Linked DNA regions of Callithrix jacchus. The protein of the gene in region 1 purifies or fractionates together with the protein of each later gene. This does not show direct contact. Links are inferred from orthologs where the notes say so. Each region holds a gene or a part of one and is shown on either strand. Other genes may lie near its edges. The genes, in order: MFAP1 and SF3B1.

Region 1 (12,551 bases):
ATACATAGGTAGATAGACAATGGGAGGGGAAGCAATATACTATTTTTAACTCATTTTTGTTATTTTTAAAAAGGTAGAGAGAGGGTCTCACTATGTTCCCCAGGCTGGCCTTGAACTCCTGGCCTCAAGTGATCCTCTAGCCTCAGTCTCCCAAAGTGCTGGGATTACAGGTGTGAGCCATCTCTCCTGGTCTACTATTTTTTAGTCACATTTTTTTTAAACGATACAGCAGACTTTATACTTAATGATAAAACAATGGAAGCATTCTATTGATTGATTGATTGAGATGGAGTCTTGCTCTGTCACCCATGCTACAGCACAGTGGCATGATCCCAGCTCACTGCACCCTCCGCCTCCTGGGTTCAAGCAATTCTCCCTGCCTCAGGCTCCTGAGTAGCTCGGATTACAGGTGCCCACCACCATGCCTGGCTAATTTTTTAATTTTTTATTTATTTATTTTTTTTGAGACAGAGTTTCACTGTTGTTACCCAGACTAGAGTGCAATGGCATGATCTCGACTCATCGCAACCTCCACCTCCTGGGTTCAAGGAATTCTCCTGCCTCAGCCTCTCAAGTAGCTGGGACTACAGGTGCACACCATCATGCCCAGCTAATTTTTGTATTTTTAGTACAGATGGGTTTCACCTTGTTGACCAGGATGGTCTCGATCTATTGACCTTGTGATCCCCCCCGCCTCAGCCTCCCAAAATGCTGGGATTATAGGCGTGAGCCACTGCAACCGGCCGATTTTTTATTTTTTAGTAGACAGGGTTTCACCATGTGGGCCAGGCTGGTCTTGAACTCCTGACCTCAGGTTGTCAGCCAGCCTCAGCCTCCCAGTGTGGGGATTACAGGTGTGAGCCACTGGGCCTGGCCAGAAGCATTCTCTATAAAAAACAGTGGGCATCCTAATGTTGTCCCTATCATACCCTCTAGTCAATACTGTATTATGGTTCTAATTTGGTCAGTAAGGAAAATTTATAAGGATTTTAAAGGGGGACATTGCCATAATTTGCAGATTATATGGTTGTCTTTGGAGAAAACACAAGATAACAGATAAGCTAAAAGAATTCAGAAAAAATGCTGGATATAAAACTTATTTATAAAAATAAGCATACCTGTATATTATTAGCTACATATAACTAGGAAATACAATTTCATTTTTATTTATTGATTTTCTTGAGACAGGGTCTAAATCACTCTGTTGCCCAGGCTGGAGTGCAGTGGCACAATCATGGCTCACCACAGCCTTATATGAGAACTCCCAGGCTCAAACTGTTCTCCTGCCTCAGCCTCCCAAGTAGCTGGGATTACAAAAAAATTATTTTTGGGACTATAAATTAAAAAAATTTTTTTTAAAGAGACAAGGTCTTACTATGTTGCCCAGGCTTGTCTTGAACTCCTGGGCTCAAGCAATCCTCTTGCCAAAGGCCTCCCAAAGTGCTGGGATTACAGGAGTGAGCCACCATGCCTGGTATATTTTTTACTTTTTGAGAAAGAGTCTCTGTCACCCACGCTGGTATGCAGTGGGATGATCACGGCTCACTGCAGCCTCAAACTCCTGGGCTAAAGTGATCCTCCCTCCTTAGCCTCTGGGTAGCTGGGACTACAGGCAGGTGCCACCCAGGTAATTTATTGTATTTTTTGTAGAGATGGGGTCTTCCTGTGTTGCCCAGGCTGGAGAAAATGAAGTTTTAAAATACCATGAAAAATCACAACGAATGTATAAAACAGTGAGGAATAAATCTAATAAACAATGTGCAGGCTTTTAGGGAAAAATGATATAATTTTATTGAAAGATGAAAAACATCTAAGATCTAAATAAACAAATACTTCACATTCAAAGATGAGAAGATGGCAGCTGTGCCTGAATTAACCTATAAATGTATAATCTATCATTTTAATGCTGTTCCATTAAAAGTTGTCGCTAGGCTTATTCCAAAATCATATGGAAGAACAGGAGGCCCCAAAGAACCAAGAAAATGCTGAAAAAGAATAAAAGCTGATGGGGGTGGGGAAGGAGGGTTAGGGAATAGCTTACCAGATATGTCAGTGACCCAGGAAGTACACAGAGATCAACTGAACAGAGTAGAGGGCAGAAAAACAAGCTTATATGAGAACTTGAGTATATTACAGAAGTGGCATTACAAATCAGTAGAGAGTGGATGGGCTAATCCATCAGCAGAGAAGGGACAATTGGCCAAACATATAGTAAAATTAGACCTCTAACTTCTACCATGGACACAAAAATTCCAGATGGATTAAAGACCCAACTATGAAAAATTTATCAGCTGGGCACGGTGGCTAACGCCTGTAATCCCAGCACTTTTGGGAGGCTGAGGCAGGCAGATCACGAGGTCAGGAGTTTGGGACCAGCCTGGCCAACATGGTGAAACCCCGTCTCTACTAAAAATTCAAAAATTAGCCGGGTGTGGTGGTGGGCACCTATAATCCCAGCTATTCCGGGTGGCTAAGGCAGGAGAATTGCTTGAACTCAAGAGGTGGAGGTTGCAGTAAGCCAAGATCGCACCACTACACTGCAGCCTGACAGAGCAAGACTTCATCTTGTGGGGGGAAAAAACTAAAACAAAAACAAACTTATCTTAAATATTTACATTCCCTACAGGACTGTAAGCTCCCTAACTTAAAGTGTGTTTTGTATAAGTATGTATTCAATCCAATTTAATATATACGAACACTCAGAAGCTAGAAAACCTTTACGAAAGCTGGGAATCCGGTGGCTCACGCCTATAATCCCAGCACTTTGGAAGGCCGAGGCGGGTGGATCACGAGGTCAAGAGATCGAGACCATCCTGGTCAACAAGATGAAACCCTGTCTCTACTAAAAATACAAAAATTAGCTGGGCATGGTGGTGTGCGCCTGTAGTCCCAGCTACTTGGGAGGCTGAGGCAGGAGAATTGCTTGAACCCAGGAGGTGGAGGTTGCGGTGAGCCGAGATCGTCCCACTGCACTCCAGTCTGGCTAACAAGAGCGTAACTCCATCTCAAAAAAAAAAAAAAAATAGCTGGGGACCATGGCTCACATCTGTAATTCCAGTACTTTGGGAGGCTGAGGCAGGTGGATCACCTGAGGTCAAGAGTTGGAGACATGGTGAAACACTGTCTCTACTAAAAATACAAAAATTAGCTGGGTGTAGTGGCGGGCGCCTGTAATCCCAGCTACTCGGGAGACTGAGGCAGAGAACTGCTTGAACCCAGGAGGCAGAGGTTGTAGTGAGCTAAGATCGCAATTCTGCACAGAGTGAGACTCCATGTAAAAAAAAAACAACAAAAAAACTTTGAGAACCTCAGAGCTTTATTTCCCATATATTCATCATTTACACACTTGGTTGTATCAGATTTTTACATTTTTGCCCAATCTAACAGGTGGAACAGGTGTGAAATGGCATCTTGTTATTCTAATTTGCATTCCCCTGATTACTAGTGATGCTGGGCATCTTGTTCATGTGTCTAATACGCTCTCTAGGTTTAGCCACCACACCCAGCTAATTTTTGTATTTTTAGCAGAGATGGGATTTCACCATGTTGGCCAGGCTACTCTTGAACTCCTGACTTCGTGATCCTTCCGCCTCATCCTCCCAAAGTGCTTGGATTACAGCTGCGAGTCACCACACCCAGCCTTTGAGACAGAGTTTTGCTTTTGTTACCCAGGCTGGAGTGCAATGGCGTGATCTCGGCTCACCGTAACCTCCGCCTCCTGGGTTCAGGCAATTCTCCTGCCTCAAACTCCCGAGTAGCTGGGATTACAGGCACACGCGACCATGCCCAGCTAATTTTTTTTGTATTTTTTAGTAGAGACGGGGTTTCACCATGTTGACCAGGATGGTCTCGATCTCTTGACCTTGTGATCCATCCGCCTCGGCCTCTCAAAGTGCTGGGATTACAGGCGTGAGCCACTGCGCCCGGCCTTGTTTTGAAGAGACAGGGTCTCAAGGTGTTGCACAGGCTGGAGTATAACGGCACAATCATAGCTCACTGCAGCTTTGAACTTCCGGGCATTAAGTGATTCTCCTGCTTTGGCTTCCCCAAAGTAGCAGGAACACATCACTACATCCAGCTAATTTTAAATTTTTTTGTAGAAATGAGAGTCTTGCTATGTTGCCCAAGCTGGTCTTGAACTCCTGGCCTCTAGTGATCCTCCTGCCTCAGCTTGCTGAAGTGAGGGATTACAGGTGTGAGCCAATGTGCTCCACAAATTCTTATATTCTTTTTTGTTTTTGTTTTTTGAAACAGTCTTGCTCTGTTGCCAGGCTGGAGTGCAGTGGTGCGATCTCAGCTCACTGCAACCTCTGCCTCCCGGGTTCAAGGGAGTTTCACCATGTTAGCAGGATGGTTTTGATCTCTTGTCCTCATGATTCGTCCACCCTGGCCTCCCAAAGTGCTGGGATTACAGGCATGAGCCACCACGCCCGGCCAAATTCTTACATTTTTACAACTCACTTTGGAGAGGTATTAAAGCTGAATTGGCTAAAGAACAACAACTGCAGAACTTGAACTTGTAGCTGGATTACAGGTGCCTGCCACCACGCCTTGCTAATTTTTTGTATTTTAGTAGAGATGGGGTTTCGCCACGTTGGCTAGGCTGGTCTGGAACTCCTAGCCTCAGGTGATCCGCCACCTCAGAGGTGTGAGCCACAGTGCCCAGCCGCAGCACTTTTTTAACAGGGGGAAAAAAACAGCAATGGGACAACTACCTGCCCCTCAGGAGGGAATAAACTGTGGGTTACAGTTTATTTAATTAATTAATTTATTTTTTTTGAGACCGAGTCTCGCTTTGTTGCCAGGCTGGAGTGAAGTGGCGCGATCACGGCTCACTGCAACCTCCGCCTCCCAGGTCCAAGCAATTCTCCTGCCTCAGCGTCCCAAGTAGCTGGGACTGTACAGGTGCACACCACCATGCCCAGCTAATTTCTGTATTTTTAGTAGAGTCGGGGTTTCACCATGTCGGCCAGGATAATCTCCATTTCTTGACCTTGGGATCCACCTGCCTTGGCCTCCCAAAGTGCTGGGATTACAGGCGTGAGCCACCGCCTCTGGCTGGTTACAGTGTACACAATGGAATTCATAAGCAGTTCAGATGAATAAATATCTATAGGGATTCAAAGATAATTCCCAAAATCCATGTTGAGGCTAGACACGGTGGTGTCTACCTGGGAGGCTGAGGCAGGAGGACAGCCGGAGTCCAGGACGTCGAGTCCAATCTGGGCAGCATAAGCAGTCTTCTATGGACAGCAAAAGAGGGACTATATCCCGCACAATGCCCAGCAAATAGGCATTCTCTCTGTCTATGTATCTACCTACCTACATATCTATCTAGTCTGATATTATATATTTATATTCTGATATATACTTAAGTCCCTAATTATTAGATTAATATATATATACTTAAGTTCCTAAGTAGACTAATACATATATTCTAGTAATATGTAGTGATATTATATTCTAATATTAGACTAATACATATATTCCAGGATATTAGACATCTATATTCTGATATATAGTTAAATTCCTAAGTAACTATTAAGTACTTTTATATATGTAATATATATAATGTACATATTAGTCTAAGGAATTTGTGTAGGCTAAGGGGTGCTTGCTGAATATGAGAGCAGGCCACAGGAAGAAGATCGGATGCGAGTGGGTGGGGGTGGAAAGGTCGAAGAATTTGGGAGCCAAATCTTGAGAGCTGGCGGGATAGAAGTGGTCTGTCTGGGAGAGACAGACCTCTCCAGACCTGGGAGAGATCTGGAGGTTGCTGGGGCCGAAAGAGTAAAATTCGGCTGGGAAGAGGGTTGTCAGCACCGTACCTTTCTCATTGCGAACCGGGACGGCCCCAGCCGTAGACTGAATGGGCGGTTGCTTCATGAGAGCGCTTGGGACCGACATGTTGATGGCAGCGACGGTGATTCCCGAAACTTGACTAATTCCAAACAGTGAACACCAACAACGTCAACGAAGAGAAGCGATCCCTTCCACCTACGTTCACGAACACAGCTGCTCGACTGATAGCGAAACCGCTTACGGCTGGGCTAGATAAACCGGAAATATGTAACGAGAGGATTGTGGGACGGTGGAGGACCTATGAGCGCCCACAGCTAGGAAGTTGCGTCTGTTTCTGCGCCTGCTCTTCGGCTGCCCTCGGGTCCTCTACGTCGCAGAAATTGGAAACCGCCTTTGGCGGGAAATTTTGCTTCTTTTGGGCTTTGCTGGTAGGACCGGCGGACCCTGCGGTGAGGAAGGTTCTAATGAAAGGTTCCACGTGTTAGGTTGGTTAGAAGCCAAGAACAGCATAATTAATAAGAAACTGAGGCGCCAGTGAGTTGCCGTTTGGCTTGTTGAAAGCTCAGAAAAAGTAGAGTTAGATGGAGTAAAAATCTTGGTAATAGTATCTGATTAGGTCAGTTGATGAGGCCAGTGTGAGCTGTGGTGCGGTATTTGGTGTCACACAGGGCAGGTGGTGCTGATTTAATCCAGTGACCAAAAAAAAAAAAAAAAAAAAAAAAATCCCCCAAGGTGCCTGAGACATTGCCTGCCCGAAATCCCAAAACTCCACTTCTAGGCTTTCAGGTTCTTCCACTGGTAGTTGGAAACTACCTATTAAAATATATTCCTGGCTGGAAAGTGTTTGCATTTAAGTTTCTAGGTAATTATTATTTTGAGACAGGGTTTTTTTTTTTTTGAGGCAGAGTTTCGCTGTTACCCAGACTGGAGTTCAATGGCACGATCTCCAGCCTCTGCCTTCTGGGTTCAAGCAATTCTCCTGCCTCAGCCTCCCGAGTAGCTGGGACTACAGGCGCGCACCACCATGCCCAGCTAATTTTTGTATTTTTAGTAGAGACAGGGTTTCACCTTGTTGACCAGGATGGTCTCGATCGCTTGACCTCGTGATCCACCCACCTCGGCCTCCTAAAGTGCTGGGATTATAGACGTGAGCCACCGCGCCCCACCGAGACAGGGTCTTGTTCTGTCACCCAGGCTGGAGTGCAGTGGCGCGATCTCGGCTTACTGCAGTCTCCACCTCTCGGGTTCAAGTAATTCTTGTGTCTCAGCCTTCTGAGTAGCTGGGATTACAAGCACCCGCCACCACGCCCTGCTGATTTTTGTATTTTTAGTAGAGGCGGTTTTACCGAGTTGGCTGGGGTCAAGGGATCCACCCACTCCGGCCTCCCACAACCTGGTAATTTTTGTGTTTTTAGTAGAGGCGAAGTTTCACCATGTTGCTCAGGCTGGTTTTGAACTCCTGACCTCTGATGATCCGCCCGCCTCGGCCTCCCAAAGTGCTGGGATTACAGATGTGAACCACCGCGGCCGGCCTATTTAAGAACTCTTTAAGGACTTGTAGAATAATAACAGAAGCAGCCCCAATTTACCAGCTGGGTTGTGTAAAAAAAGAAAAAAAAGAAAAAAAGGGAAAGGGCATATTTCACAGTAGGAAGGACTTTATCATTGTGGGGGACACAAGGGACAGCAGAAACAGTCTTGCAGTCCAGAAACTGTGCATTATACAGGACACCATGAAAAGTTTGGTTTTATCAGTAATTTTTGAGTCGTGGAGGGCCTTGAAGTTGCTGTTAATATGATTTACCCAAATTACTTCAACTGTATTCTATACAGTTGGGCCTTGGGTGGACCAGTCTCAGTCAGGTAACAGTGTGGGACCCAGTTAAGCAACTAAGGAAACAGTTTTGGGCTAGAAGGAACCTTAAACAGAAGAATAGCCAAAATCTTATTTTATATTTATTTATAAAAGAGACAGGGTTTTGCTGTCGCCCAGGCTGGAGTGCCGCAGCATGATGCCTCACTGGCTACATCCTTCTAGGTTCAAACCATTTTCCCACCCCTGCCTTCCGAGTATCTGGGACTACAGACGCACAGCACCACGCAGGACTAATTTTTGTATTTTTTGTAGACATAGGGTCTCACTATGTTGCCTAGGCTGGTTTCGAAGTCCTGGGCTCAAGCGATCCGCTCCTCTCGGCCTCTCAAAATGTTGGGATTACAGGCGTGAGCCATTGCGCCCGGCCTGCCAGTGTTTTGCAGAGCGGCATCCTAGTACCACCAGAATCAGAATCACCAGTCAAAGGTAAAAATGTCAATTCAGACCAAGTACATCCCTAAGGAATTTTCAGTCTAGGGCTTTAAGATGGCTTTCTTAAGAGGCGCGCGCAACCGGGTCTTCCTGCTACTGCGCTGCGACCGCGGTGGTGCTAGTGGGTTCCGCCGCGTCCCGGCCCCGCCCCGTCCTGCCCTACTACTCGCGGCCTCGCTCCACCCCTCCCGGCCTCCTGCCGCAATCTTGGCGGGAAGGCGCCGGCCGCTAAGCAGCCGAAAGATGTCCGGGTCGGACGCGGCGGCTGAGAAGGCGAACTCCAGACAGCGACCCCAGATGAAGGTGAGAAACGGGTTGGTGCTTCCGGGTGTGCTTCTGCCTCGGTTTCTGTGGGGTTCTGCGGGATACAGGCCTGGGAGGTCGAGAGCACCTGGCATTGGGGGTAGGCGGGGATCCCTGCCCTGAGGCCTTCAGCGTCGTCGAAAAGTTTAATCAATAATCCTAGAAATAGCGGGAGGGTCAGATCTGGGATTCGCTTTCTTCAGCCTTCTGCGTTTGCTTTTGTCACACTTATGGTCAGCTTCACACTCTAAATCATTCCATCCGCAGCTGGCAGTTGCGGTAATTGCCTCTGTCATAAATGCTAGTCATTATTATTATTGGTCTGGCAAACTCTTATGGGCAAGAAATATGCCAAGTAAATGAATTCTATTGAGGTTAAGGTTAATGAATTACATATCTAGATTTTGGAAGGGAGAAAAAGTTTTCTTACAGGCTATCAATTTGGATTTATTTATTTATTTGAGACAGTTTTGCTCTGTTGCCTAGGCTGGTGTGGAGTGGCGCAATCTCGGCCCACTGCAACCTTCGCCTCCTGGGGTTCAAGCGATCCTCCTGACTCAGCCTGCCGAGTAGCTGGGATTACAGGCATGCACCACCACACTCAGCTAATTTTTCTATTTTTAGTAGAAGCGGGGTTTCATCCTGTTGGCCAGGCTGGTCTTGAGCTCCTGACCTCAGGTGATCCACCTTCCTTGGCCTCCCAAAGTGCTGGGATTACAGGTGTGACCCACCTCACCTGGCCTCAATTTGGATTTATATTGTCATCGTGAAATGGGAATTATTAGATCTGTTAGGGATCCTGTAAGGAAAGGCACAGAACTTGGAATTCTTATATTCTCTTTTCTTTTATTGATCTGAATAGGTAAATGGATATAAAGAAAATCAAAACATCGCTTATGTGTCTCTGAAACCAGTGCAGACTACAGTTTCAATAAAAACAGCTACAGTCTATCTTACCCCCTTTTCACTCAGTAATTATCAGCTAGACCAGCTTATGTGCCCCAAATCCCTATTAGAAAAGAATTCTAACAATGAAGTGGCGTGTAAGAAGACTAAAATAAAGAAAACTTGCAGAAGGATTATACCTCCAAAGATGAAAACCACATCTTCCAAGGCAGAATCCACACTGCAAAATCCATCCTCAGCTGTTCATACTGAAAGTAACAAGTTACAACACAAGAGAAGGACAGATGCGATGAATCTCGGTGTTGATACGGAAAGTAGTCAGGATGGAGACAGTGCTGAAGATATCACACCAGGCCTGGTAAGAACTTAATTAGTAGCTTGTTCTAGTTTCTCTTAAAGTTTGGAAATTTGATGTTCTGATAAAGCGAAGTTTATCAAGGATCTCTCTAATACAAACAAATTATTTCATCATTAATGTGTAACAATAAATTTCTATTATTTTTAAGGTTTAACAAGTAACTTACTTGGATTAATTTTGCTCTTGCTGTGTGTCAATGAGAGGATTGACTTAATCTTTACTCTGTTTCCCTTTTACTCCCTCTAAACTTACTGCATTTATTTTTGGGCTTACTCATACTTTATGGTGCCTTGCTCACCATTACATGTTTATGTACAATATATCAGAAGTCGTCAGTTTGTGGGACATAAGGTATTGACTGACCCTTGATATCAGGGTAGGGAAACATTAATTAATTATATTGATTTGTTGAATATATTTCCTTTAAATGCAAAAGGGGACAAATGACAGAGTAGAGAAGATACATGAGAAACACATTAGTTCTATATAATTTCAATCAATTTAAGTAATTTGGTTTGTAATTCTTTTGGCTTCTGCCTACCAGGAGGGCTGTGCTCCATTCAAAGTGACAAACTTTACACAGGACAAGATAAAACCAAACATAGTACATAACACAATGTTGCTGGAACTCAGGGAACAGAAAATGATAGTAGGTAAAGGGAGATACTATAATTGAAGGGCATTGTTATGAAATAGAAATTTGGTTTATGTGCTCTCATCCCAGAGTTAAGAACCAGGACTCATAGTGAAACAGCATGGGGTAAGTGTTAAATGAATTGGACTTGGGGTTGAGAGTCTAGCACAGCCATTTCTAAGAAACCTGTTCCTTTAAACAAATCACCTTAGTGAGGGGACTGGATAAAATCTGTGGTTCTCAAACTTTAGGCTATATCAAAATTACCTGCAGAGTTTAAGACTGGATTGCAGGGCCCCACCCTCAGAGTTTTTGATTCAGAAGTTTTGAAGTTGGAGCATACAATTTACATATCTTTTTTTTTTTTTTCCTTTTTTTTTTTTTACTTTAATAGAGACATTGGGATGTTGTAGGGGTAGGGGTGTGTGTTGCCCAGGCTGGTCTTGAGCTCCTGAGCTCAACCAGTCCTCCTACCTCAGCCTCCCAAAGTGCTAGGATTATAGGCTTGAGCCACCACATCCAGCCCAATTTGCATATTTAACAGTTTCCTAGAGACACTGATGTTGTTAGTCCAGAACTGCACTTTGAGAACCACTGGATTAGATTATCCCTTTTGCCTTTTAGACTGTAAGATTCTGAGAATACAAGGTAAATATAAAGCAGATTTTAGTTTGATGTAAAGGAATAGGTCAGTTATTAGAGTTGTTCCAAAAAAAAAAAAAAAATTAAAAATTAAAGAAGGCAGATGGATCCACCTGAGTTCAGGAGTTCAAGACCAGCCTGCCCAAAATGGTGAAACTCCATCTCTCCTAAAAATACAAAAATTAGGCTGAACTTGGTGGTTCACACCTGTACTCCCAGCACTTTGGGAGGTTGAGGTGGGTGGAGTTTGAGACCAGTCTGGCCAACATGGTGAAACCCATCTCTACTAAAAATACAAAAATAAGCTCGACGTGGTGGTGGGTGCCTGTAGTCCCAGCTGCTTGGGGAGGCTGAGGTAGGAGAATTGCTGGAATCCAGGAGGTGAAGGTTGCAGTGAGCCAAGATCACGCCACTGCACTCCAGCCAGGGTGACAGAGTGAGACTGTCTCTTCCTCCACGCCCCACCCCAGAAAAAAAGAAATTATAAAAATTAGCCAGGCTGAGATGGGAGAATTGCTTGAACCTGGGAGGTGGATGTTGCAATGAGCTGAGATTGGGCCACTGCACTCCAGTGTGGGTGACAGAATGAGACTTTGTTTTAAAAAAATAAAGCCTCCCAAATAGCTGGGACTACAGGCATGTGCCCATCTTGCCAGGCTAATTTTGCCATTTTTATGTAGAGATGTGGGTTGTGCCATGTTTGTTGCCCAGGCTGGTCTCAAACTCCTGGGCTCAAGTGATTTGCCCACCTCGGCCTCCTGAAATGGATTACAGGTGTGAGCCACTGCGCCCAGCCAAGATACTTTTTTTTTTTTTTAAATCATTGCTGTTTTATTTAAAATTTCAAAATTACCTGAGACAAAATTTTTTTTTTTTCCTTTTAGTTGCATTTATTTTAAGGCTGAATTTACTCCCGTGCCATAAGTTTTTGCTTCTTCAGTTTCTTCTGGGATTTCTTCTTCTTCTGGGCAACCTCCTCTTCTGGTTTAGGAACAATCTGTTCCTTTTCAGTAAGGATCATCTCAATGTGGCAGGGAGAACTCATGTTAATTCGACCATGAGCTCTGTAGGTCCGGTGGCGCATCTTGGGTGCTTAAATTTAAATCATGTATATAAATACAAAGATGAACGAACATTGGTTCTTTAAACACTGACAAAATCCTGAAACCATATAATGTATATTTTTAAGCCACGTTTTCTATTTTTACAACATAGTTTAAAACTAAGTTTATTTTAAAAAGTACATAGGAAAATATAATGATTTGAGTGTTCTCAAATATATGGCTCTGAAGGTAGATCAAGTGTTTTTATCACTTAATCCATATACAGTGCAGAAAATAGATATATTAATTACAACATTTTCCTTCAGTTGATAGTTTACTCAACTGTCATAGATACTCCAGGACGGATAATCAAAGAACTCTCCAGGTTAGAGTCAAGCAAATTCTGAACACTTGGTCAAAGGAACATGAAAATGCCAGGTCCTGGCACAATAAATAGATTTAAATAACCCAGAAGGTGGTATACATCAGATAAAGACAATCTTAACTAAGCACCACAGTAACTTTGGAGGCAAGTGGTACTGTACTCTTATTAAA
Region 2 (11,474 bases), on another chromosome or scaffold:
GTTTCTGTGCCCTGCCTGCCCTCTTCCTCCAACCATACCATATAATCCACCTATTACCAGCTCACAGGTGACAACCCAACGCTTGAAGACCAGCATCCCAGGTGGAGCACCAAGCCACCTCCGGCATTCCTGCCCAAGCTGCCCACCAGGGTCATCTTACACATTTTCACAGCTTACTTTCCCCAGAACTTATGCAGAACTTCACCCCAAAGTAGGCATTTAAGTATCTGCTAAATAGTACTTCTAGTTACTTCCTAGGCAACTGCTGCCTAAAATCAAATGCTTTATTCATCATGCTTTAATTTTATTAAGCATGTAAGTCCTGCTCAAACAATGGTCTAAGGCTAGCTCTGTGGTTCTCGCCCTAGGGAGATTTTGCCCTCTGAGGGACATGAGACAATGTCTGGAGGCATTTTTGGTTATAACATTGGGATGGGGATGTGCCGGTGGCATCTCACAGGTAGAGGCCAGGAAAACTGTTCAACATTCTGCAAGGCACAGGACAGCACCCACAAGTGACTTATTTGATCCAAAATGTCAGTAATGCCAAGGTTGAGAAACCCCAGGGTAGCCACATTATCCTCTTTTAACCTTAGGGGATTTGAGAACCAACGGAAACCACAGAGCCGAACTGAACCTATGTGGCTGCAACTGTTTTATAGTTTCTTAATAGAGAAAAACTTCTCTGGTTTTTCAGCATTAAGTTCCCTTGTTTTGAAAACAACCAAAAGAGCTCAATATAGCAAAAATGGCACAACCACAACAGAGTGCAGTGTGATAACAATACAGAGTCAACTAAGATTAAAAACTGGCCTACTAAGACTTTAGATATAATACGTTTTATTCATCTGGTGGTACTTGGTGCTCACAGGGCACCATACAACAAATTTTAAAAATACAATATGAAAAAACCAAACAGCCAGAAATCAATTCCATTAGAGGGCAATGGCCCACAGAAAAACCAACAAAGGCCCACAGAAAAACCCACCCTGTGTTCTTAAGAACATTTCCTTCTTGGTTTGGCTTTAAGAGACACCAAAAGAAAATATGAAAGAAAAGGTCTTTGAGAAGATAGGTAAAACTTCACATAGCGTCTTCCACAAATCACAAAATGCTTTCCTTATTTAACAATAAGCACATAAAATAACCCACTCATCTGTAAGCCTCTATTTGGTCCCAATTTTTTAGGTCACAGCTTCCACTACTTCCCTCCTCTCTATCCTCAAATTATTTGCATCAGTTAAAAAAAAGTTACTTAAGGTGTAGCAGTCTCCTTTGCTCCACACTGCCACTACAAAGCCTATTTTCCAGAAAAAGTCAGAGGCCAAGCAAACATAAGCTAAGTACTTGAATTGAAAATATAATTAAAAATTTCCAAGAGTGATTTAACATCAAATTTTGGCTTTGTAATCTATTTGTATTAGATTCTCATTAGTCGTTACTGAAGGTCATTTGACATCAACCAGAGAGAGCAGTGAGATTTAAAGCTGCACTGAAGCACTGCTAGAAAACTTAACAACAGAAAGATGAGTTTGGCTTAATTTTACTACATAGTGACCTATGTTTCCAGAAAGTTGCCATACAAGAAATGAGGAGTTACAAATCATACTTGCAAACCATTAATGCTCAGTATCAATTTCTTAAGTCAGTTACAAGCTGTTTCTTAACTAAGCTTCTTCTGAAGCAGGAACTCCTGAAGTGTTAACAGGCAGTTTTACTTGCAGTAGCAGTTATATGCTAATGCTGCTTGCAGAATTTATTTTCCCTTTAGAGTTCACAGAAGTACTACCACATGGAGACAAAATAAAATTGTAAAAATAGTATAGGTAGTAAAAAGGCCAAAACTAAGAAATTTGGGGCCACAACATTAGAAAAGATTGAAAATATACTTTACATGTTTGCTAAAAAAATTTAAGTCTAGTACTGCCTTAATGCTTGATTCCTCTAGAATTAATGGCATTTCATTCAGTTTATGCTGAACTCTTAGATCAACTTATTGTCTTACTACTGAATACAAAGCTAAGCAAACTTAAGACATTTTAGCTGCTGCCACTGTGTATTATCACAGTACATAAGGAAGCTGTAACAAGATTTCTCTCTCCCCTTCTCTGTTATACTGTTCTTAAAGGTAGAGGGCAGGTCTCATGCACCTTTGCGTCCCTTGCATCTAAGCACAGTGGCTGGCATACAGTAGGTACTCAATAGGTATTTACTGATGCATTGCTGAGTAGTGGCTTATGACATGGGGAAAAGCCCAACATTGTCCTGTTCTATCAGCATTACTTAGGTAGCCTCACTCCCAAAAGGCAGAGAGCAGTTTTGAAGTAAAGTTATCTTCCTCCCTTGCTAAACACAGTAGACCTACCAAGCATTAGACAAAACTTAAACCACTTCCTTTAAACATGTTCATAAAGCATTTTGAGAAATCAAGAGATGAAAGGCGCTATGTAAGTACAAAATATTATTCAAGACAGTTCAGCAAAAGTGCTACTTTCCTATGATGATGGAATGGTTGTGCTAGTTTGAGGGGAACACCTCCCCAAGACTACTCTTCTTCCTGTCATTAACAGAACAATGGAATTCTGACAAATATGCCATCACTTTATATAGTTTTTATTCTGCTACTTTCTATAAACCAGGTGACAGAAAATGAAATTAAGCCACTTAATCCACATAAACCAATACTTTACCAAAGTTCCGCATTTTACAAGTCATGTTCAAAAAACAGACACAAATTAGCATTTTGTACACAAATGTTTATTTCTTAATTAAACATTCCCTTTAAACACAAGGAATGAGTTCTAAATCTTCATAAAGATGAATTAAAAATGAAATCCCTCCAGTATAGTGTATGTAATCACTGTGTTCTTGGTCACTACTGGCATTTACTGTTTAACATCAAAAACAAAGACAGGTTATTTAAAAATCATGCTACTGGATTTCTAGCTCTTCCTCTATGACCAGCTCTATACTGATCTGCAATGTTTAAAAGTTTACATCACCAAATCGAAGCAAGTTTAAGGTGTGAAATAGCTGTGCATTAAACACAAACAATAAAATTATAAGATATAATCAAGTTCATAACGAATATAGGTGTTCTTATCATCATTGTAGATTCTTGGGTAATGTGCTATGAGAGCGTCCTGGGAACCAATGTAGATGGAGTTGTAAATTTTCCAATATACATCTCTGACTTTCCGGGCTGGGTGAAACAGACCCTAGAATAATTGAACAGTTAAATCATTTCAATTTTCAAGAACATACATAACCTTAACAAAATTAACAAACAAACTATATAGATATGATTCAAAATTATTTCCCTTGGGGAGGGGGAACCTAGTAATTACACAAAACTATAACGGAAGAGAAAAAACTAACTCCTCCCTCACCACACAACTGTTCTCCCATATAGCACAATATAGCCTTATTGATAATCAGAAAAGGTAACTTAATTCAACACACTACTTTTTCTTGCTAAGTAATCTTTTAAAAACTTTTAACTTACAGGAGGTGGGGAAAAAGGGGAGGGAGAGCATTAGGACAAATACCTAATGCATGTGGGGCTTAAAACCTAGATGATGGGTTGATAGGTGTAGCAAACGACCATGGCACATGTATACCTATATAACAAATCTGCTCATTCAGGACATGTATCCCACAACTTTAAATTAAAAAAAAAAAAATCAACAATTAAAAAGAAAATCTTTACCTTACCTGTAAACAATATTGCAACATTCTACATGGTCCAATAGCAACTCTCAGGCCCTCTAGGGCTCCCATAACTGCCTGAATTACATGAGGAGATGTCTCAAACACATTTGGCCATACATAGTTCAACAAGTGATTCAGTGAATCTTCACAACCAAATCCATAAACCCCAAGTGACATGTGCTGTACCACCGCACTAGCTGTCTGTCTGTGTACAAGGTCTCTACAAAGGAAGGGAAAAAAATCCTTTAAGATACGGTCTTAGTTTTACAGGAAATATTCACCTGCCTATTAAAAACGAATTCAGTGCACTGAACAGATGTAAAGTCATCCTAACATTTCATGTATCTAATATATCCTTTAGAATGACTAAAGCTTCCACTTGAGGACTTTTGCTTTAATGACTCAAGCTTCACTATGGCTCAACTATTAAGCCATATTTTCTAATTAACTTTTAAAATGAATATGAGCAGAAGGGCTCTGTGATGTCTTGGCTTTGTTATGCTACTAAAGAGGAGACGTGACTCTAACTATGAATAATGAACAGTAATAACTTATTTTACACTTTTTTAAAAATTATTTTTCAGGCCAGGCATGGTGGCTCATGCCTGTAATCCCCTAGCACTTTGGGAGGCCAAGGTGGGTGGATTGCCTGAGGTCAGGAGTTCGAGACCAGCCTGGCCAACGTGGCGAAACCCTATCTCTACTAAACATACAAAAATTAGCCAGTAGTGCTGGGCACCTGTAATCCCAGCTACTCAAGAGGCTGAGACAGGAGAATTACTTGAACCCAGGGGGACAGAGGTTGCAGTGAGCCGAGACCACACCCTTGCACTCCAGCCTGGGCAACAAGAGTGAAAATGTTTAAAAAAAAAAAAAAATTTATTTTTCTTTTTTATTTTTAGAGATAGGGCCTCGCTATGTTGCCCAGGCTGGCTGTGAATTCCTGGGATCAAGCCATCCTCCTGCCTTGGCTGCCCAAATCATTTTAAACTCTTGATTATAAACTTAAATTTTTACCAGTACTTTAGATACTGGCATATAATAGATAACTGAATTAAAATTAAATTCCCTTCTCACATAAAGTTTATGCTTCATTCAGTAACTTAATTTGAGCAAAGGAAGAAAGCTCAATAATTTTTTCAAACCTACAGAAATAACTATCATCTCCTACATTAACTGAATTTATGTTTATGAAAAATCAATGAGTGATTCATTCCACAATTATTCAACCAAGTATGAACTCATTGGCTAACATACTGGGATTTGCAACAGGTATGAAAATGAGTTTCCACATTTTGTCCCAAAGACAGTAAGACAGACCATATCAAAGATATAAGAGAAAAAGGCTTGTATTTATTAATACCCTTGTTTTTCTTGTTTATTTTAATAATGTCATTCAGCATAAGCATGAAGCAGTATTCCTCATTAATAAAACTTCCAACTGAAGTATTCTTTCCATTTAGTAATTTTCAATGGAATTACTCCCCAACTTCTTAGTATACGGAACAAAATTTTTAACTGTAAAAGTTAAAATTTTTAATTTAGTACACAGAACAAAATTTTTAACCATAGTGCTCAGGCACTTCTCAATGAGGAGTATGGAGCAAGAGCAATTTACCCTCATTTTTTTCTGCCCTGGGCAGCAAGGCTTTTACAGAGCTCAATTCTTACTTTGTCTCCATGTCTTGCATATATATATTCTGGTAACTTTTTGATGAGTCCATTTAAGTCTCCCTTTCAGGTCATTAATGAATAACTTTAATTTATACACAAAAGTATTTGAATGGGCTCTGATTTGAGTAACTTATCTCTCCTGAAAAATACAGAGCCAGTTAAACAGTTCTTTCCTTTACTATGCCTGCACTTTCCTTTGCACTTTCTTCAGTTACTTTTGTGTTTACGGCTATAATATCAGTCTAGATGGTAAAAGGTATTAGGAATCTGTCAAATAACTCAAACAGTACTGTACTGGTGGTCACCATCTGAAACACTAGGGATCTGCAATGGGAAGAGTGCAGCTCTGTCAGACTATGTTCAGTAATTCGAAAGCTTAAGAGAAATCTGTGCTTTACCTACAATAAAAAGCTAAAAAACATCAGGTCTCTGCCACACTGACTAGCTCCTGCTCATCAATTCCTGTAACTATATTTGACCAATTTTGAAAACAAAAGATTATCAACCCTTTTCAAAATGTAGTTCAACAGATATGAAAAGAGATTTAAAGGGAGGTGGGGAACTTGAAAGAAACTTTGGAGAATCACTACAATGTGCACATTATTTTAAATAATAAGTCATATTTACAATGTCCTAAGACTCCAGGCTAGCATTTTTTTCTTTATCTACATTACAATGAAAAGTCATCTAATAACTATTTCAGGATGTTCTAAAATGAAGGAAGAGTTATAATTATTTTCCTGTATTTAGTTCAAGTCACTTACCTATCCATTAAAGCATCTTCAAGTAATGGTGTTACAGCATAAATGTAGTCTTTTCCCATTTCACCAATATATTCAAACAAGAAGGAAAGTGATTTTAACACTCCATTTTGAACATTCAGTTCAGGAACTCTGTATTCATTCATTAAGGCAGGGAGTACTGTAAAGGGTGAACACGTTTCTGCAACAATAGCTATTGCTACAGTGGTACAAACTCTGTTCTGCCTTTCTTGAACTTTGAGGTTGTTTAGAAGTGTAGCCAATACATCATGAGGGCTGAAAAAAAACAAATGGGTCAACAATAATAAGTCGAACTTTGATTTCCATAAGTCAAAAATTTATGGAAGAAAAAAACGCATGAGGATGAAAACTTTTAAATACTAATGACAGGGAGCTCAGTAATTTTATGATAAAAATGCAGTATTTTCAAGTCACTGGCATTGTTGTTTCTATATGAAAATTTCATATAAATTAAAAGATCAGTTTTTAAAAGTTAACTCTGAGATCAGAGGCCATAGCTGTATGAATTCTAAAAATGTTAAGTTAACTCAAATTAATTCTCAATGTTCAGTCTTTAAACTTTCTGATATATAAAGAAATGTAAGTAAATGTTTAAAGTGAGTAATTCTCTGAGTTGTCAAAATGGGCACTAGAACTAGGTATGAGTATCCAAATTGCAGTCTCCCACTATAAACCATATGAAATCTTTTTTCCTTTCATATTCCCTCCCACACAATTTGCTGCATCTATTCACCTCTTCTTTGACATAAGCTTATGGGACACTGAGGCTAAAAGCTTGCACAACAGCTATTGGCTGCAAATTTCTTGACTCCATCACCACTAAAATAAATATTATGCTACCAAAATAGGAGAGGAATGAGTATGTGTTAAGAGAGAGAGTATGGTCTGGTTAATTCTAACTAAGGAATCAGACATTCGCATGTCATATTCCTTAAAAACATTTTCTTACTTAAGCCACATGAACACGCAGTGTCTCGTTTTCTATAATGACTGCTTTTTCCCACTTTAGTTGTAATGGAGTGGAAGTAAACAACCACAGATTATTTCACAAAGCAGCTATAATTCAGTTAAATCTGTGGATTAATGTTAGAATAGCATTTTTGTTGTTTTTTTAGAGACAGGGTCTTGTCCTGGGCCCAGGTGCCCAGGCTGGGGTACAGTGGCACAATCACAGCTCACCGTAACCTTGAACTCCTAAGCTCAAGCAATCCATAATAAAATTTTTAAAACACAGAGCATTCAATATGAGACTTAAATGATGCTGTAAGATTAAAAACTTGCCTTTATAGTTTAAGCAATATCCAAAAAACCAATACACATTTAAAATTTTTCTGAAAATGGTACTGTTTCTCTCCCTGAAAATACCTAACATATAATTAAAGTAAATTTATTTTAATTCAATTAAAAATTTAAGACTACAGGCTGGGCGCAATGGCTCACACCTGTAATCTCAACACTTTGGGAGGCCAAGGCAGGTGAATCATTTGAGGTCAGGAGTTCAAGAGCAGCCTCGCCCACATAGTAAAAACCTCGTCTCTACTAAAAAATACAAAAAATTAGCCAGGTGTGGTGGTGCAACACCTGTAGTCCCAGCTACTGGGAAGGCTGAGACAGGAGAATCACCTGAACCCAGAAGGTGGAGGTTGCAGATCACATCACTGCATTCTAGCAGTGAGTAACAGAGCAAGACTTTGTCTCGAAAAGAAAAAAAAAAAAAAAGAAAGAATTGAATTTAAGAATGCATTCCAATAATCAGAAGGTCAGCGGTTAAATGAAGTGCTTTTGCAACTGCATTACTCAGACCATGCCTCAAAAGAGATTTCAACACCACAACGGATTTACTATAATTTTTTTTTAATGGAAGTAAATAACACTCACCCAATGGCCTTTGCAATATAACCAAATGTGTTGACTGTGGCTCTACGAATAGCTTTTTTGTGGGCTTTTAAAAGCTCTAAAAGCTCAAAGCAAATCCTCATCCATTCTCTTGCAGATACATATTCAGCTCCCCTAATTAAAAAAGAAATACACATATTAATTTTTGTGACATTAAGTTTTAAGGGTAAATTTGCAAATTCAGTTCTAAAAACATGATTGCTAGCTCATTTTAAGCATTAAATAAAAGTTATTACTCTTCAGAAAGGTTAGAGTTAGTCTTAAAGGTTTAGTCTTAAAATTATATTGCCACCCCATTACCATCCAAAATGAAATTTGACTGAAAATATTAATACTGGATAGCCTAATCATATACACTTATATTAGTGACATTAAAAAAATTTTGCTAATTGAATAAAAAGTGGCCAAACTTGAAAACTGATATTGCTTATAAAAATGTTTGGGTAATCTGCTTACCTGTCAGCAATACGCCCAACAAGATCAATACAATTCTCTTGTACTTTTTCATGTCTGTTCTTTAAGATGGGGGTGAGTCTAGGCAGCAGATCTTTAATTGGTGGAGTCATCTTATGCATACCTATTTAATAGAAGTCAATACACTATCAACATTTAAATTGCAACTTTTGTTCACTTTCCTTTTACTTAGCAATGTCATATATGACTGTGCATAAATATAAACTTACAGCTGCCTTTGGAAAGAGAAAGCCCAGATTCTGACCAGATTCAGAATCGTTTTTAACTTTCATTAACAACTTTTGATTATGCATAGAAATGAAAGAAATCAGTGAAGTGATTTAAATGATGGATACTCAATAACAAAAAAGTTTTGTTTGGTTCTGAAATGTATTTGTGTACTGACATTTAAATATGGGGACAGCTTATGTTCCGGCCGTACACAACAATATAAGCCAGAGGTAAACATGTAAATAAAGCAAAAATTTCCAGAAAGGGCCCCCTTACCCTTTAACTGCAAAACAAACAGATCTCCAGTCTCCCTGCAATGCAGGGCATACTTGGATGGTATTTACACCTATGAAGAGAGAAAAAAGGAGGCAGCTGGCAGGGGCTCTTGCTCTAACTAGAATCGCGTGCTCTGATTCTCTCTCCATTGCTCTTCCCATGCCTCTCTCTGACAAATAATACAGTTTGAAACTCCCTGCAAACCAGAGGCCTACAAATGGCTGTGTAAATGATTTTTGGCAAGTAACTATCTTCAAGTATAGAGGACTGGGCTGCATTGGAGATTATATGCAAATAGAATAGTATAAAGATATAAATTGCATAAAAACTTTTTATATCTAATGAGAAAAAAACAAACAGTGGCTCTCTTACAGTCAGCTATTTTGACTTCTGCTAGGTTATCAGACCCTCTAAACTCTGCAGGAGTTACATTTGTCAACAGTCATAATAAATTTTTTAAAAAAAGATTAAATACAAGAACCCATGTCTTTTCTTGGTCATACTGACCTAACAGAATAAAAACTTTGCTCTCCGTATCTAAGACCATTTGTAATATAACTGTGTTTTGGGTTAGAAAATTCAACAGACAATTTTTAAAACTTGGGTATATAAATAAATTTAAGAAAATAATTTGATCAATTCACTTTTCTGATTATACTCCTTGAAACTGATGGTAAGTAAAAAAAACTGTCATAATCACTTACTAATTCAAGATTATATATATATTTATATATAATTCTAAAACTAAATTAAAACTTCAGGGTTGCCTTTTTGCCCTGCAGAATATATTTCAGCTGACACACCATTTTTACTAGGGTCCTATATTCCATAACCTCAAAGCTTTTGGAATTGTGACTACTCCCACCTCTCCTGTAGGTCCCAAACTTGCCCTTTTTTTCTCTTTGAAGTAACATATAAACGGGTTTTGGGAAACAAGACTTTTGTGGCATCCCCTGACTTAACTACAATCTTGAAGTGCTTTTAAAAAAGTAACAAAAACCTCCCAACACCTAAATAAGACTCTGTATTTTACTTAAAATAAGAAAAAAGAAAGTTAAACAAAACAAGAAAAAGTCTTATGCAACCAGCAAACTCCATACCTATGACATTTACAATGGCCTTCAGTGCTCCAAGAATGCTGCCCAATACTTCAGGGTACTCTTCACCCAAATACTCATACAATACAACACCCAAGTGTCCCATCAATTTTTCCTATAATAAAACAAATAATGTTAAAATGTTACCATTTACATTAAACTATTTAGTGAAGAAGTAAAAATTTGACACAAAACTTTACCTCTTGACAAGTCTTCATAACAACAGCAGTTCGAGAAATCAAGTCAGCTGCCTGTTGCCTAACTTTTGCAGATTTGTTATTTAAACGCCACAAAACTGTACCACAGATCTGAGGCAAGTATGGTTTGACTCGTTTGCCAAGAGCATTCACCACTGTGCCAAAGCCATTCAACATTACTGAGTCCTAAAATAAATAAATAAAAAGACACAATCATTTGGTTTCTTTATGACTACACAGTTGAAATATACTAATAGTCAATCTTTTTCAACCACCAAAACATCTGTTGTTTTTTTACATCAAATCTTAAAACTTGAGATAGAATATTTTTTTGGTATCCAAGAACAGGAGCATTTTAAAAATTACTTCAAATACAACTGCATTTTAGAAAAATTTGCTTGACAAGTAATATGCTTCTTCTAAAAATATGAAAGTCAGTGGCAGTGTGCCATAATAATTAGTTATCATTACCTCTGTAGTCTGTTCTTGGAAAGCATAAAGAATACCATCAATCAGTTGTTCTTCAAGTTTATGATCAATATCTGCTGCTCCCAAATTGCCCATAATTTTCTCAATTGTCTCCATCACCATTTTTCTGTACTGTTCGGCTTCATCCTTCAGATCATCCACAATCCTGGATATAATTTCTGCTGCACCTACTTTGTTTGCCAACTCCACAGTAGTATCAACTAACTAAAAAGAACAAAAAACAACAACAACAAAAAAAAAACACCTCTTTTAGACTGCTTTTCCAAGGAAACAAAGCAACATCATAAAAACCAAATACTCTAAATGTATTATTTAGCTAGTAAACATACCATGAATGATTCATTGCTATTTATTAAAGTTGAAGAGAAAAGTGACCAAACAATTTAAGAATGAGTATAAGCTAACGTGATTCAAGGTAGGTAAACTGTATCCATGTTTCACCTAGCCAGATAAAGCACTGGATTTACCAGACAAAAACATCAATTCACAGTTGAGTATTGATCCTTGAATGCCAAGTCAAAATGGAAGTTAACCAGCTGACTAAAATCCACCTCCTTTCTTTCTTTTTTTTTTTTTTTTTTTTTTTTTTAAAGACGGAGTTTCGCTCTTGTTACCCAGGCTGGAGTGCAATGGTGTGATCTGGGCTCACTGCAACCTCCGCCTCCTGG

What was found.
Region 2: the proteins of MFAP1 (region 1) and SF3B1 purify together in Homo sapiens (co-immunoprecipitation; 3 studies listed by BioGRID and IntAct, with this or other methods). This does not show direct contact. The link is inferred for Callithrix jacchus from reciprocal best matches to the Homo sapiens genes MFAP1 and SF3B1.

Annotation. Positions count from the first base shown.
Region 1 is NC_133509.1:31,481,247-31,493,797, forward strand, and holds the start of MFAP1 (microfibrillar-associated protein 1), read right to left. Parts: upstream 6,044-12,551; 5' UTR 5,908-6,043; coding exon 5,829-5,907; intron 1-5,828. Other genes in the region: WDR76 (WD repeat-containing protein 76), read left to right, coding at 8,354-8,413, 9,276-9,677. UniProt on the Homo sapiens protein: Involved in pre-mRNA splicing as a component of the spliceosome.
Region 2 is NC_133507.1:118,354,877-118,366,350, forward strand, and holds the end of SF3B1 (splicing factor 3B subunit 1), read right to left. Parts: intron 11,011-11,474; coding exon 10,789-11,010; intron 10,504-10,788; coding exon 10,321-10,503; intron 10,236-10,320; coding exon 10,124-10,235; intron 9,094-10,123; exon of another isoform or gene 9,024-9,093; intron 8,641-9,023; coding exon 8,520-8,640; intron 8,178-8,519; coding exon 8,046-8,177; intron 6,423-8,045; coding exon 6,150-6,422; intron 3,932-6,149; coding exon 3,715-3,931; intron 3,219-3,714; coding exon 3,060-3,218; 3' UTR 2,742-3,059; downstream 1-2,741. UniProt on the Homo sapiens protein: Component of the 17S U2 SnRNP complex of the spliceosome, a large ribonucleoprotein complex that removes introns from transcribed pre-mRNAs.